Linked DNA regions of Sus scrofa. The protein of the gene in region 2 purifies or fractionates together with the protein of the main gene of each other region. This does not show direct contact. Links are inferred from orthologs where the notes say so. Each region holds a gene or a part of one and is shown on either strand. Other genes may lie near its edges.

Region 1 (6,378 bases), about 31 Mb from region 2:
ACTGTTCTACAGTCTCTCCTGCTGCCCTCTCTCTCTCTCTCTCTCTCTCTCTCTCCCCGGCGTCCCTCCCTTTCCCGCCTCTGCCTTGCACCCCGTCCCGCCCGTCCCGCCCCTCACCTCGGGCTCACTCGGTGCCCGCACCCGCTGCCCCAGGCCCGGCCTCGAGCGTGGCGAGCTGCAGGCGCACGCGGCGGGAGCCGGCGGCCGGCGGCGGGGGCGTGCGGGCGGCGCGGCGCGCTCCCCGGGAGCCGGGCGCGGCGCGCCGGCCCGCCGCGGAGGAAGCTGGCGCCGACCAGCGGCGGGAGAGCTTTCGCGCGAGGCGGGCGAGCGCCGAGGGCCGCAGGCCGTAGTCGCGCTCGAGCTCCTGGCGCGAGATCTCGATGTTGCCGGTGTACCAGAGGATCCAGCCGAGCAGGCTCAGGAAGACGAGCAGCGCGCCCGAGTAGATGAGCAGGTCGCCGAAGTCCCGGCCGCGCACCTGCAGCTGCGCGAACACGCCGGTCAGCAGCGCCGCCATGCCCGCCACGTCCAGCGCCACGGCGAGGAGCAGCGCCATCCGGCAGCGGCCCAGGCCGGACGAGGGCACCGGCGCGCCCGCCGGCGGGAACGGTGCGCCCGGCGGGGCCCCCTGCGAGGCGCCTACCGCCGGCGCCGCCGCCATGGCCGTGCTCCGCCGCCGCCGCCGCCGCTGGCTCCGACCGAGAGCTTTCCGCGTTCCGGGCGCGGCCCGGCCCGGGGCGGGGTCAGGGGACCGCGCCAGGTGTGCCCGGCTCCCGCCTGGTCACCTGAGCAGTACAGACTGGCCTGGCCCGGAGGCGATCTAGCTGTGTTTTCTGGGCAGGACCTGGCCTTCAGAAGCCTATGCTGGGAACAGCGGGACGCAAAGATGCGTGCGGCCTCTGTATCCCAAGGAACTCGGAGCAGCGCATGGTCAAAATTCAGGGTGTTCTAGTGGAGGCAACGTAGGGCGCTCTGGGAGCCCGAGCATAGTTTCTGTTCAGTGCCTACCTCCAGGCGCCTCCGCCCCCGGTGCACCAGTGGGAACAGATGGGGTGAAAAAGAAGGATCAGACAAGGCCCTGAACCTCAAGGAACTCTGGGAGGCAGGGAGTCAACAGAGTGCCTTAAGGAAGGAAACGGCTCCGTGGAGCTGAGGCTGCTCTCAGTCACTGCCGGCCTCCTGTGTGGCCCAGAGCGAATGATTAATGATCGCAAAGGCGGATCAGACACTCACAGGAACTCTGCCGCCACCATCGGATCAGAGCTCCGTGATGAAGGCAGGAGGGTAACCCCCAACATTCCCGTTGGCTCAGGTTTCTCCTGGGGTCTTTAGACTCTCAGGATGTATTACTCGCGAAGTCCAGGTGCACAGAGAGATGGACCAGACAAGGTCCCTGCCCTCCCCTCGAGGAGTTGCTGGACATGATCACATCAAAGCGCGCTAATGGGGTGCCAAGGGACTGTCATTCCTTTTGTTCCCTTGGAGTCTCTGTGCTGGTCAGGCCGAAGACACAGAGATATATCAGGCAAGGTTCCTGCTCCTTAAAGATGACCCTGACGACAGAAAACAAACGTCTATAAAGTGTAACAGGTGACATGGGGCAGGCTGGAGGAGGATGGGGGAGGCCGCGGGGCACAGGGAAGAGGCAGGGCAAACAAGTATGGAAACCCTCAAGGAACCAAGAGCTTTCCCAGACAAATCTTTTCCTCCAAACGCAACTCGCCCTTAAGAGGAAATCCACGGTTCCCTGCGGAGACAGTCTGCGAGAAGGTTCCGTCAGGCTTCTCTCTAGACTCAAATAGCTCTGGATTTAATTTTAAGACGGCCCTGGGGAGGGGGAAATAACAGGGGGTTCCTGGAGTTAGCCGAGGGGTTCCGAACGTAGCCGATTGGAGATCGACTGTTTCCGAGCAGATCCGAAGGGGCACGGGCCAATAAGTGGGAAGGCGGCCGCCCCTCCGAAGAGCGTTTCCGGAGAGTTTCGAAAATGTCCGAAACTACTTAACTACCTTCTTCGGGAATAGCCGAGGGCCTACGAAGAAGACTGGAAGCACCCGAAGACTATGGAGCAGAGCTAGGTTTTAATAGTTCAGGCACTCTCACGTTCCTTCATAAAACAAATATTTATTGAGTTGAGCATCCATTCTGTGGCCAGCAATGGGTGGCAATATTGGAAGAGGCCGCTGAGGAAGGGGCCGTGGGGCTTCTAGAGGTGGACACAATCGGAAACCCAGCCGTGGGCTTCCGACAACACAAGAAGGGCTATCCAAACTGTCCCCTTCCGCGTCGAGAACACGCCCTCGGGTCCCTAGCCGAAGAGTTCCGAAAATCCCCGAAGGGTTTTGCGACGGGCTGGCGGAAATAGCCGAGCGTTGCCGAGCTGGTTCGGAGACGGGAGGGGAGAGGCGGGGGACAGTCGACGCGCGTGCCCAGAGAGGAAGCGGAAATGCGTGTGGGTATTAAAAGCGTCGCTCCGCCCCCGGCGTGTCTCTTTCCGTCTCCGGCCGCCGCACGGAGAGGAGGTGAGGTGCGGCCTCTTGTCCGCCCGCGTGGCCGTCTCGCGCCCGCCGCCGTGGGTCTGTGCCCTTGCCTGGCCTCTCTCGCTGCGCCGCTCGCCTCCCTGGCTGCCCCCGAGCCCCGCCGCCCTAGGTCGCTGTGCATTTTCATTTTCTTGTCGCTCGTAGTCTCGGCCGCCTAAGTTCAGCTCCTCTACCTTAGGCCGCCCAGCCCCGCCTGGCAGATTTCTAAGCGCTCTCGGCCCACACGGTTCCCCCATTCCCCAGGTCCCCACACGCGGCCTTCCCCTGTTGTTCACCGTCGGCCTGCTGCTCCCTTGACATTTCCCGGGCCCCTTCCTCCGCAGCTGCCGTTATGTCCGCGCACCTGCAATGGATGGTGGTGCGGAACTGCTCCAGCTTCCTCATCAAGAGGAACAAGCAGACGTACAGCACCGTAAGTGGGGCCCCGACGCCTGGGTCTGAGGGAGGGACCTTTACGACCGCTGGGCCCTGGCCCCTTTCGCGACCGCCATGTGTCCCGCTTCCCAGGAACCCAATAACCTGAAGGCCCGCAACTCCTTCCGCTACAACGGGCTGATTCACCACAAGACCGTGGGCGTGGAGCCGGCGGCGGACGGCAAAGGGGTCGTGGTGGTGATGAAGCGGAGATCCGGTAAGCATCTGCCCTGGCTCGGCCGGGCGACAGACCCCCCCACACGGGCGAGGAGCTATGGTTTCTCAGTGTCGGGCAGCAGCACTAAGGTTTCTTGGGGTCAGGACAGTTGCCTGGGAAGCTGGCTCTTCAAGCTTGCCCTCCCCCTGTATGAGCTGGCCAGGCTGCTTTGCTTGTTTCATCGTTTGAAAAGTCATGAATAGGTCCTCAAGTTGTCCCCTCACCAGGATTTATGTTTCGGGGAGGTATGATTCAGTGTTGTGTTTAGGATAAGTCTTTAAAACAGCTCAGTGAATGTCAGTCTCAAAGGGTGGGAAAATTGGGCAGACAGGTGGGGGCCTTTCTAGCTCCCACGTGTAGGAAGTGACAGCTTGGGTCTGAGGCAGTGGCGTGACCCCCTTTGTGGCTGCAAGGACTCAGAAGGGATGCTTAGCCTCCCACCCCCCTAAACCGCTCTCAGGCGCGGCCAGGCCTTTTTATTTAGACTCGGAGTCAAGAAGAGGCAGGGTATCACAGCTATCTTTTTGTTTTTCGGGGTGGAGGGTTTGAGATAGGAAAAGTTTTTCCTCCGTCTCTTGTGAGGGCCAGTTTCCGTTTGGGTTGAGTCCAGTGTCTTGGTTCAGTGACAGCAGTGACCACACCTGTTGCCTCCATCTCAGAGGGGAAGGGATAGCCCCTTCCCTGCGAAGCAGCCCCACGAGCAGCCAGTTCCTTGTGCTGTTGAGCTTCCCAGCTTCCCACACTCCTGAGAACCCTGTTCTGGTGTGTTGAGCCCCCAAGGCTTTGCTTTCTCTTCTTGAATTGTCGGGTGGCCCTTTCTGGGTAGTCAGAAACTGGCTTGACCTGAGGAGGTAACATAAACCTTCTCTATGGCATGGGTCCTTGGCTTCTTGGGGGAAACCAGGAGCGTGGGACCCCATCAGCCCTGTGACACGGTAAAGGGGGTGTTTTTCTTTTATCCTGGGCAGTGGAGTCCAGGCTCACTTGTGCTCAGGTGAGGGCTTACCCTAGGACTCTTAATTGCCCCTGGTCTTCCCGTGGTCCAGCATCACCCCAGCATCAGAGCCAGGCCTCACAGTGTGGCGTATTAGACATTTGGTGCAGAGGAGTTGTCTTGGGCCCTGGAGGGTGCAGAAGGGAGAGGAGCCAGAGCTGCTTTCTGGGGAGTGCCCACTCCCTGGCTGCCATAGTGCTGCGAATGCCCGCCTCAGCTGGGCTTCTCAGATTCTGATAACTGCTGTGTGCATGTGGACAAGGGAGTCCCCGTTGCTTCTGCTTCTAAATCTGTGCTGTGAGACGAGCAGTGCTGTGTCTGCACAGCTGGGTGGGGAAGACACACCTGTACAGGTGCTGGGCCTCGCCTGCCATCGTCCTATAAATTGATGCCCAGAGATGGGGCACCATGTGCAGGCTCACACAGCCCAGGCACCCACCCAGGTCCTCTGGGTGAGATCGTACCCTCGCACTAGGGGTGGGCACAGAGGACCAGACCACCCGACTGACCCCTGGGGGCTCTCTTCTCCCTTCTCCCACCAGGCCAGCGAAAGCCGGCCACTTCCTACGTGCGGACCACCATCAACAAGAACGCCCGAGCCACTCTCAGCAGCATCCGGCACATGATCCGAAAGAACAAGTACCGCCCGGATTTGCGCATGGTGAGTGGGAGCCCAGTGAGGCCGTGGCAGGTACGGGGGGTGACTCCGTGGGCGCCCAGAGAGCCCAGCCAGTGCTGGGAGGGGCGGCTTTCTGGAGAAGGGGCACCATTATCCTCCTGGAGTGGGGCAGGGTCCCAGCTCGTGGGGTGGGTGCACTGAGCCAGCCTTGCCTCCCAGGCCGCCATCCGCAGAGCCAGCGCCATCCTGCGCAGCCAGAAGCCAGTGATGGTGAAGAGGAAGCGGACCCGCCCCACCAAGAGCGCCTGAGCCCTGCCCTTCCCCAAAGCAATAAAGACAACAGTCTTCTCCTTGCCTTCGGGTGCGTGCAGCTCCTGTGCCCTGCCCCCTGCGTCTCTCACCCAGGCCCCGTCCCCAGGCCTTCTCCCACCCACTGGGACCACACGGGGCCGCACAGTGTTGGGTCTGGAGCATCACATTCTCACAGCCTGCTAATGCGTGACAGAGCTTCAAGAAGGACCTAAAGGGGTTGGTTTTTAACAGCCTCAATCTCCTGAGTGTTCTTCTGTGTTTATAGTTTTGTGGTTGTGTTGGCAGTGTGGCCTGCAAAGGTGGAAGCATTTGCTGTGTGGGAGCCCAGCTGTAGACCACGTGTTTCTCTTGGGGTGGCCTGAATACTCCAGTGGGAGCTGGGGTGGGGAGGGTCTTTTCTGGCATGCCCATGCCAGTGGGCCTCCTACCCACATGGGTTCTGGAGCAGCACAGGAGCCTCTCCAGGGGACTGCAGATGCAGTGAGTGTCCTCGGGCAGGGTGGACAGAGCTGTCAGGGCCCCCATTGTGTTCAGGGCCCAGGGTGCCCAACTCTGCTTGTCTGAGATGGAAGGCAGCACCCGCACTAGTGCGGCTCATAAATCTGGAACCTGTGACTCTGTCTTGGAGAAGGGAGCTTAGGCTGCACCAACCACCCAGGAGGAAGGCGACAGCCCCAGGCTGCCCGCCAGCAGCCATGTTCTTACTAAACAGGCTGTTCTTGGCTAAAAACCCAGCGGGCTGACTGGACCTGCACCTGCTGCTGCACCGGGAGTGCACTTGTGCAGCCTCTCCCCCCAGCTCCCCAACTCTTTGCAGCCTCTCTTGCCACCCTTCCCCCAGGCTGCGTCTTCCTCGCACAGCTCTGCCTTCTCTGACCACCAGATCTCAGGTGGCTCTGGCTTGCTTCCCGGTGGCGGCCTTGGCCATGGCGTGGGCTCACAGACCACGCCATGGGGACCCAGTGCAGAGACCAGCACCATGTCAGCACCGCACAGCTTTGCATCGGGGCAGGGAGCAGCAGTTCTGGCTGACCACACACCCAGGCACACCCAAGCTCCATTCCCCTCCAGCCTTTCCAAGCAATGGGCAGGAACCGGATGACCCGCCAAACCTTCTGCCTCCCCTGGGCCATTTCGCCTCGCCCTGGGGTCTGTTCTCAACCCCAGGAGTGGGATCCTGGTGGAACTCTGTCAGGTGACCTGAAGCCCGCTCGGCATCCCCCAGCCCACTTCCGCCTTGTTTCCTCCGGGACACCTGGCCCCTCGCTGTCCCTCCACTCCC
Region 2 (6,412 bases):
GAGTTCCTGTCGTGGTGCAGCAGAAACGAATCTGACTAGGAACCATGAGGTTTCAGGTTCAATCCCTGGCCTCGCTCAGTGGGTTAATGATCCGGCTTTGCAGTGAGCTGTGGTGTAGGTGGCAGACATGGCTTGGATCTGAAGTTGTTGTAGCTCTGATAAGATCCCTAGCCTGGGAATCTCCATATGCTGTGGGTGCAGCCTTAAAAAGACAAAAAAACAAAAAAAAAAAAAAAAAAAGAGAGAGAGAGAGAGAGACACTAAAAAAACAGACAAATATGTTTCCTGTATAAATTTGTTTTGATAAGGATTTCTAGAGATTTATCAAAGGTTTTATAAAGTAGTATTGCCTTTTATGTGATTTAAACAGATCACTTTCAAACACCCATGTCTAACAGTCTGTGATCCGAATGTCAAGTGGTGGAATACTTAACTGTTTTTATGAATAATATACCCTCTATATTTGTTTTGTATTTTTCTTTCACTGAGATAATCTTAACGCTTTTCATATGTCTTCATAAAGTAGCCCCATAACATAAGAGTACTTTGGTAGATTGTCTCTAGCCTTTTACTGCACTGGAAATACCATGCCCAGATAATAAAGACAATAAGGAGATAAAGTTGACAGTAGAACACAGTGCTTTTTTGTAGGTTATTATTTATAAACTAGGGACCATCTGTAATTGCAGGCTGCAGGTAAGGGGTGAGCAGCAAGGCAATCCCAAGCACCAAAATCAAAAGCTGGCTACCTTTGAGAATGGAATTAGCAAGAGTCACAATGTGATGAATGGGACCAGCAATCTGCAGAAATGATTCTCCCAGAGATGCCTATGTCCCTCTGCTCAAGGTCCATGCTAAGCTACCCTTCATAACTGCCACAGCACCTTGACAAAGGCAAAGATATCCCCTAGAATGCAATACAACTGCATCTAGAAAATGAAAGTTGTATTCCTTACCATATACTGATTTTTTTGTTATACATCTGACCCTTGAAGGTTTGGCTGGCATGAATTAGTCCTGCCAAATTATCCTGGAATAGCCAGAGAGACTGAATTTCTTTTCAAAGCTGAGAACTAGACCATGAAATGCAGTGCCCACATCAAGGCACTCCCCACTATCATGGGGCCAGCTGCTTTTATCTAGTCTTATGTCCTTTTCCTAGGGCCTTCAAACTACCAATTAAAACATATTACTAAGTGTTTAGGGAGTTAGTGAAAAGCGACTGAGTCATATTAGTAAATACACTAATGCACAGCATACTGCTCAGAGGCCAACTGTTACGTGATCACGTTCCATCAGAAACTGGCACATAAGATAAAAAACTAGAGTTGTTATATAAAATGAGGTGGGGCCTCTGGATAGAGGAAAGCTTTCTGCATCAAGAACTGGGTGAGAGAAGTTTCTATTAGTACTTGCAGCCAAATGTCAACACCAAAGGTGTAAAGAGCCCAAAAGAAAGTCTAAAGAGAGCTTCAGTGCAGAGTTCCTCCACTTTGGCGATCCCAGGTCCTGACCACAACCAACATGAAGCTAATGTCAGAATATTAACCATGTATGGACCATGAATGAATGCCTGAATTTCCGGAATGACGTCTTAAATTTTTTTGAGACTATAAAATATCCTCATTGAGGTCAAACAACCAGAAACCATGGTTTTTACAAAGGCAGAATTTCATTTTTATCTCCTTTTTTGGGGGGGTCTTTTTAGGGCAACAGCAGTGGCATATGGAGGTTAACAGGCTAGGGGCCTGTTCCAATTGGAACTATAGCTACCGGCTATAGCTATACCACAGACACAGCCACGCAGGTCTGAGCTGCATCTGTGACCTACACTATAGCTCACGGTAACACCAGATCCTTAACCCACTGAGCAAGGTCAGGGATTGAACCTGCAATTTCATGGTTCCTAGTTGGATTCGTTTCCGCTGTGCCACAAGAACTCCGGGAACTCCCTCATTTTTACTTCTAATGTTCTTCATAGTGCCTCTTCCTCGTAGTGCCCAGCAATTACTGCTCAGGATTTTGGGCTTAGTTTTTGTTACTGTTGTTAAAACCTTAGCAACACAGTGGTGATGCCTTCAGGAAATTATATTACATGCATATTTTCTATTATATCATAGAAAATCTTTTTCTGAATTACCATCCTTATATAACTTGGATTATTTTTCCAGTAAATTTTATTTACATTTGCCTGAAACTAAGCCCAACTGCCTATAATAAATAATGATTACAGGGAGGGTGCCATAAGAAAGAACAAAAAAATCTTCCCACTCTTACTGCCACTTGAATCACCTAAGGCGATATTTAAAACATAAGTTTTAACTTTTGCTATGCTGTAGCCCCTAACATTCTTTTTTTTTTCTTTTTATGGCCACACCTGCGACATATGGAAGTCTCCAGCCAGGGGTTGAACACCAGACCCTGGCTTCATCTGTGACCTATGCTGCAACTTGCAGCAACACTGGATCCTTAACCCACTGAGCAAGGTCACAGATCGAACCTGCATCCTCATGGACACTAGTTGTGTTTGTTACTGAGCAACAACAGGAACTCAACCCCAAACATTCTTATCCAGCACCTGTGTGTGTGTTTAGGTGATTCCTCAGAAGGGTGACTGTTCTGAATGCCCTGCCACAGAGATGGCACTTGTGTGGTCTCTCATCAGTGTGACTTTTCATGTGCCGATCCAAATTTGAACGCCGTGGACACGTGTAACTGCAAAGCTCACACTGGAATGTCTTCTTTACACCTATATGCAAAATAGAACACTTACTTATTGCAGAGTTTCAAAGTGTTAAGATTAATCCTAATCTTAAATTTCCACAAATATATTTCATTAGCTTTTAAAAACTAAACCCAATCTAACTCATACTGAGTCATAACTGTCTCATGCCACTAATAGATTTACTTATTCTCTTTAGGACTTAAAAATTATTCAACCCGTAAAAACTTCTTTCAAAATGTATAAAAAGACTAGTACTCACATCATAATCTTCAAAATAAATCCATTTAATATAAAATAACCTGCATATGCACTGTGTTATGTACTTTATCCCAAAATGGTTTTATTTAGAGTATAATGGATAAACTCATTTTTACCTTTCTTTTTAATTTTTGTTGGTTTTGGAGGTTTCATGTTACCAACCACTTTCTCTGCATTAACCTCTGACAGCAGGCCCTCCTGTTGTTCTTCTTCAAAATCATAGACAGATACATCCACATCTTTGCCCTCCTCTGTGTAACGCAATTTGCTCTTTTTGGTTTTCTTTGTTTTTTTGGCTGGTGGCTGATAGTCTGGGTCTTTCTGCCAACTAGGATCTTCCTGAGGTGGAAGTTCCCCTTGTTCTAGTGTCTCCACCTCTCCATTGGCCCCCACTTTTACCACTTGAAACCCTTCAGGCAAAGGCAAGGTGTGACATATCATGGGTTCACTTTCTGCAAGGCCCTCTTTAGACACTTCATTCTCATAAGCCCCCTGAAGTTCTTCTACTGAAGTGGTAGCAACAGGTACTGTCACAGGAACGGGTACTTGCACAAGCTGCAGCTCTCCTATGTTTATAGGCTGTTCCTCCATATTTACAACCTGCAAGGTTATAATCTGGGTATCGTCCACAGCAGCCTCCGTTTCTGGTGCAACTGCACCCTCCATTACTTCAGTCTTCATCTGAAGAAGGGTAGGATCCAGCTGTTCCATCATTACCATCTGTACACTACTATTGACATCCTGGACCACCTCACCCCCATCAGTCTGGTTCTGGGGTAGATGGCAAGTGTCCTCTTCCTGGCCCCCTTCCCGGCGTCTCTGGTAAGTCTTTCTCTCCTTTCCTTTAATGAAAGTTTCAGACTCTTCCACAATGGCTTCAACCGCCTCACCTTCCATTTCCCCTTCCTTTATTAAGGGAGAACACAGACAGTTATTCAAAATGAAGCTTATCTAACTGAAAACACATACATTTTGAAACAAAACAAAGACCCCCTGATGCATGTATAAGGTTCAATGGTTAATGTTACACAAAGACAAAACAGTATTATGTGCTTCCCAATGAAAGAATGGACCACTTATAAAACAGTCTTGTCAAATAAAACAAAAAATTCTGAAACTGATAATCAAGTCTCTAGAATCAATTACCAATTAACAGGAAACTGATGACAAATGATGTTAAATTATACTACAGGAATACAATTCATGAAATCCAGACTGAAAGAAACTGTAGGATTAACTACTTACTTTCTTCTGCAAATAAATCACAAGAAAAAAATCACGATGGATAGAGGGAGAACCTCCTGGTCAATGGTTCTTCTTTCTTTTTTTCTGTTTTGGCCACCCCACAGCATATGGCATTCCCAGGCTAGGGATCAGATCTGAATCACAGTTGTGACCTAAACAGCAGCTGCAACAACGCCAGATCCTTAACCCACTGTGCCAGGCCAGGGATCTAACCTGTGTCCCAGCACTCCCAAGACGCCAATGATCCCGGTGCACCACAGCAGGAACTCTGATCATGGCCTGGACACATTTTTGGTTGTCACTACTGGGCTGGGTGTGCTGTCAGTATCCAGTAATCTAGTGGGTAGAGGCCACAGATGTTACTAAACATCCTCCTATGCACAGGTCAGTCCTCCACAACAAAGAATTATTGGCCCCCAAATGTCAATAGTGCAGAGGTTGAGAAACCCTGATATAGACAAAAGAGGCTCAAGACATAGAGCAATCAATCACAACATAAGGATCTTGTTTGGATTCTGATTCAATCCAATAAATAGTTAAAAAAAACATGACACTGAGATGACACAGCTGACAATGAGATGCAACATGCCTGGATATTTAATGATATTAAAGAGTTGTTTTCAAAACTAGCTTAATTATACATTTCTTTTTTTTTTTTTTTTTTTTTTTTTTTTTTTTTGTCTTTTGTCTTTTTGTCTTTTCTTGTTGTTGTTGTTGCTATTTCTTGGGCCGCTCCCGCGGCATATGGAGGTTCCAAGGCTAGGGGTCAAATCGGAGCTGTAGCTGCCAGCCTACGCCAGAGCCACAGCAACGCGGGATCGTTAACCCACTGAGCAAGGGCAGGGACCGAACCCGCAACCTCATGGTTCCTAGTCGGATTCGTTAACCTCTGCGCCACGACGGGAACTCCTAATTATACATTTCTTAGATCTATTTATAAAAACACTAGCAGACGGCCTTGCTGTTTTTATCTAAATCTTCCCTTAGAAAACACGCCATCGTAGTGTTTTTTTTTCCTCAGCCAGAACCAGAACTTGGATCCAAACTGCAATGGCCCTGTGTAAAGCTACCACACACCATCTCCTGTCTCATACCATCAACTTGACATTCATGTATCTCTCTTCTCTACGAGACTATGCATTCCTTGAGGAAAGAGATCATGTACAACAAGTAGTTTTTATACTTTAGCACTGTGCCCAGGTTGGTAAGAACACAATAAACACTATACGAATATATAGTAGAAATAGAAATAGTTTCTGGATCTCAAGTCTTGAGAATACTGAGACACTGAAGAGTAAAATGAGTCTGAGCAACTACTTAATTCATAGCAATCATATGACTCTACTAAACCCAAAAGTATAAAAAAGATTTATTCCAAGTTAAAATCTAAAATGTTTGGAGAGGTCTCATTGTGGCTCAGCAGAAACGAATCTGACTAGTATCCATGAGGACACAGGTTCAATCCCTGGCCTCACTCGGTGGGTTAAGGATCTGGTGTTGCCATGAGCTATGACATAGGTCACAGACATGCCTTGGATCCTGCGTTGCTGTGGCTGTGGTGTAGGCTGGCAGCTTAGCTCTGACTGAACCCCTAGCCTGTTAACCTCCATATGCAGTGGGTGTGGCCCTAAAACAAACAAACAAACCTGTTTTGTATTCTTGCCCTAGTCTCAAACAAAGCTTTTCCTATGTCTATTAGAGACACATTTCTCCAATTCAGGAACCTTAACACTATCCTTAGTAGCAGTCAGAGAAGATCCCATATGCCAGGACCACCTAAAGAGCACTATAAAGACTAGGACCAGGAAAGCCTGATCTTGTGTTTTATGAGTTACTGTCCAACAAGAAGGACAAAATAACAGTTCCTGACTAGTATTCATGAGGACAAGGGTTCTATTCCTAGCCCACTGGTGAGTTAAGGATTGGGTGTTGCCATGGACTGTAGCGTAGGTTGGCAGAAGTGGCTTGGATCTGGTGTTGCTGTGGTATAGGTCAGCAGCTGCAGCTCTGATTTGACCCCTAGCCCAGGAACTTTCACATGCTGCAGGTGCATTCCTTTGAAAAAAAAAAAAAAAAAAAAAAAAGCCAGACAGAATAGATACAACAGCTCAAGGTAGTAGGTTTGGAGACCCCCACATAACCAGCTGTGAGATCAAATGGAGAAGACATTTAAAGGCAGCATTT

Evidence for each region. The genes of interacting proteins can lie anywhere in the genome.
Region 1: the proteins of CTCF (region 2) and RPL28 purify together in Homo sapiens (affinity purification with mass spectrometry; 3 studies listed by BioGRID and IntAct, with this or other methods). This does not show direct contact. The link is inferred for Sus scrofa from reciprocal best matches to the Homo sapiens genes CTCF and RPL28.

The regions. Positions count from the first base shown.
Region 1 is NC_010448.4:59,554,199-59,560,576, forward strand, and holds RPL28 (60S ribosomal protein L28), read left to right. Parts: upstream 1-2,387; 5' UTR 2,388-2,446; coding exon 2,447-2,522; exon of another isoform or gene 2,523-2,649; intron 2,650-2,783; exon of another isoform or gene 2,784-2,863; coding exon 2,864-2,952; intron 2,953-3,047; coding exon 3,048-3,171; intron 3,172-4,707; coding exon 4,708-4,826; intron 4,827-5,003; coding exon 5,004-5,093; 3' UTR 5,094-5,139; downstream 5,140-6,378. Other genes in the region: TMEM238 (transmembrane protein 238), read right to left, coding at 125-661.
Region 2 is NC_010448.4:28,232,067-28,238,478, reverse strand, and holds the start of CTCF (CCCTC-binding factor (zinc finger protein)), read right to left. Parts: upstream 3,890-6,412; 5' UTR 3,881-3,889; coding exon 3,100-3,880; intron 2,750-3,099; coding exon 2,579-2,749; intron 1-2,578.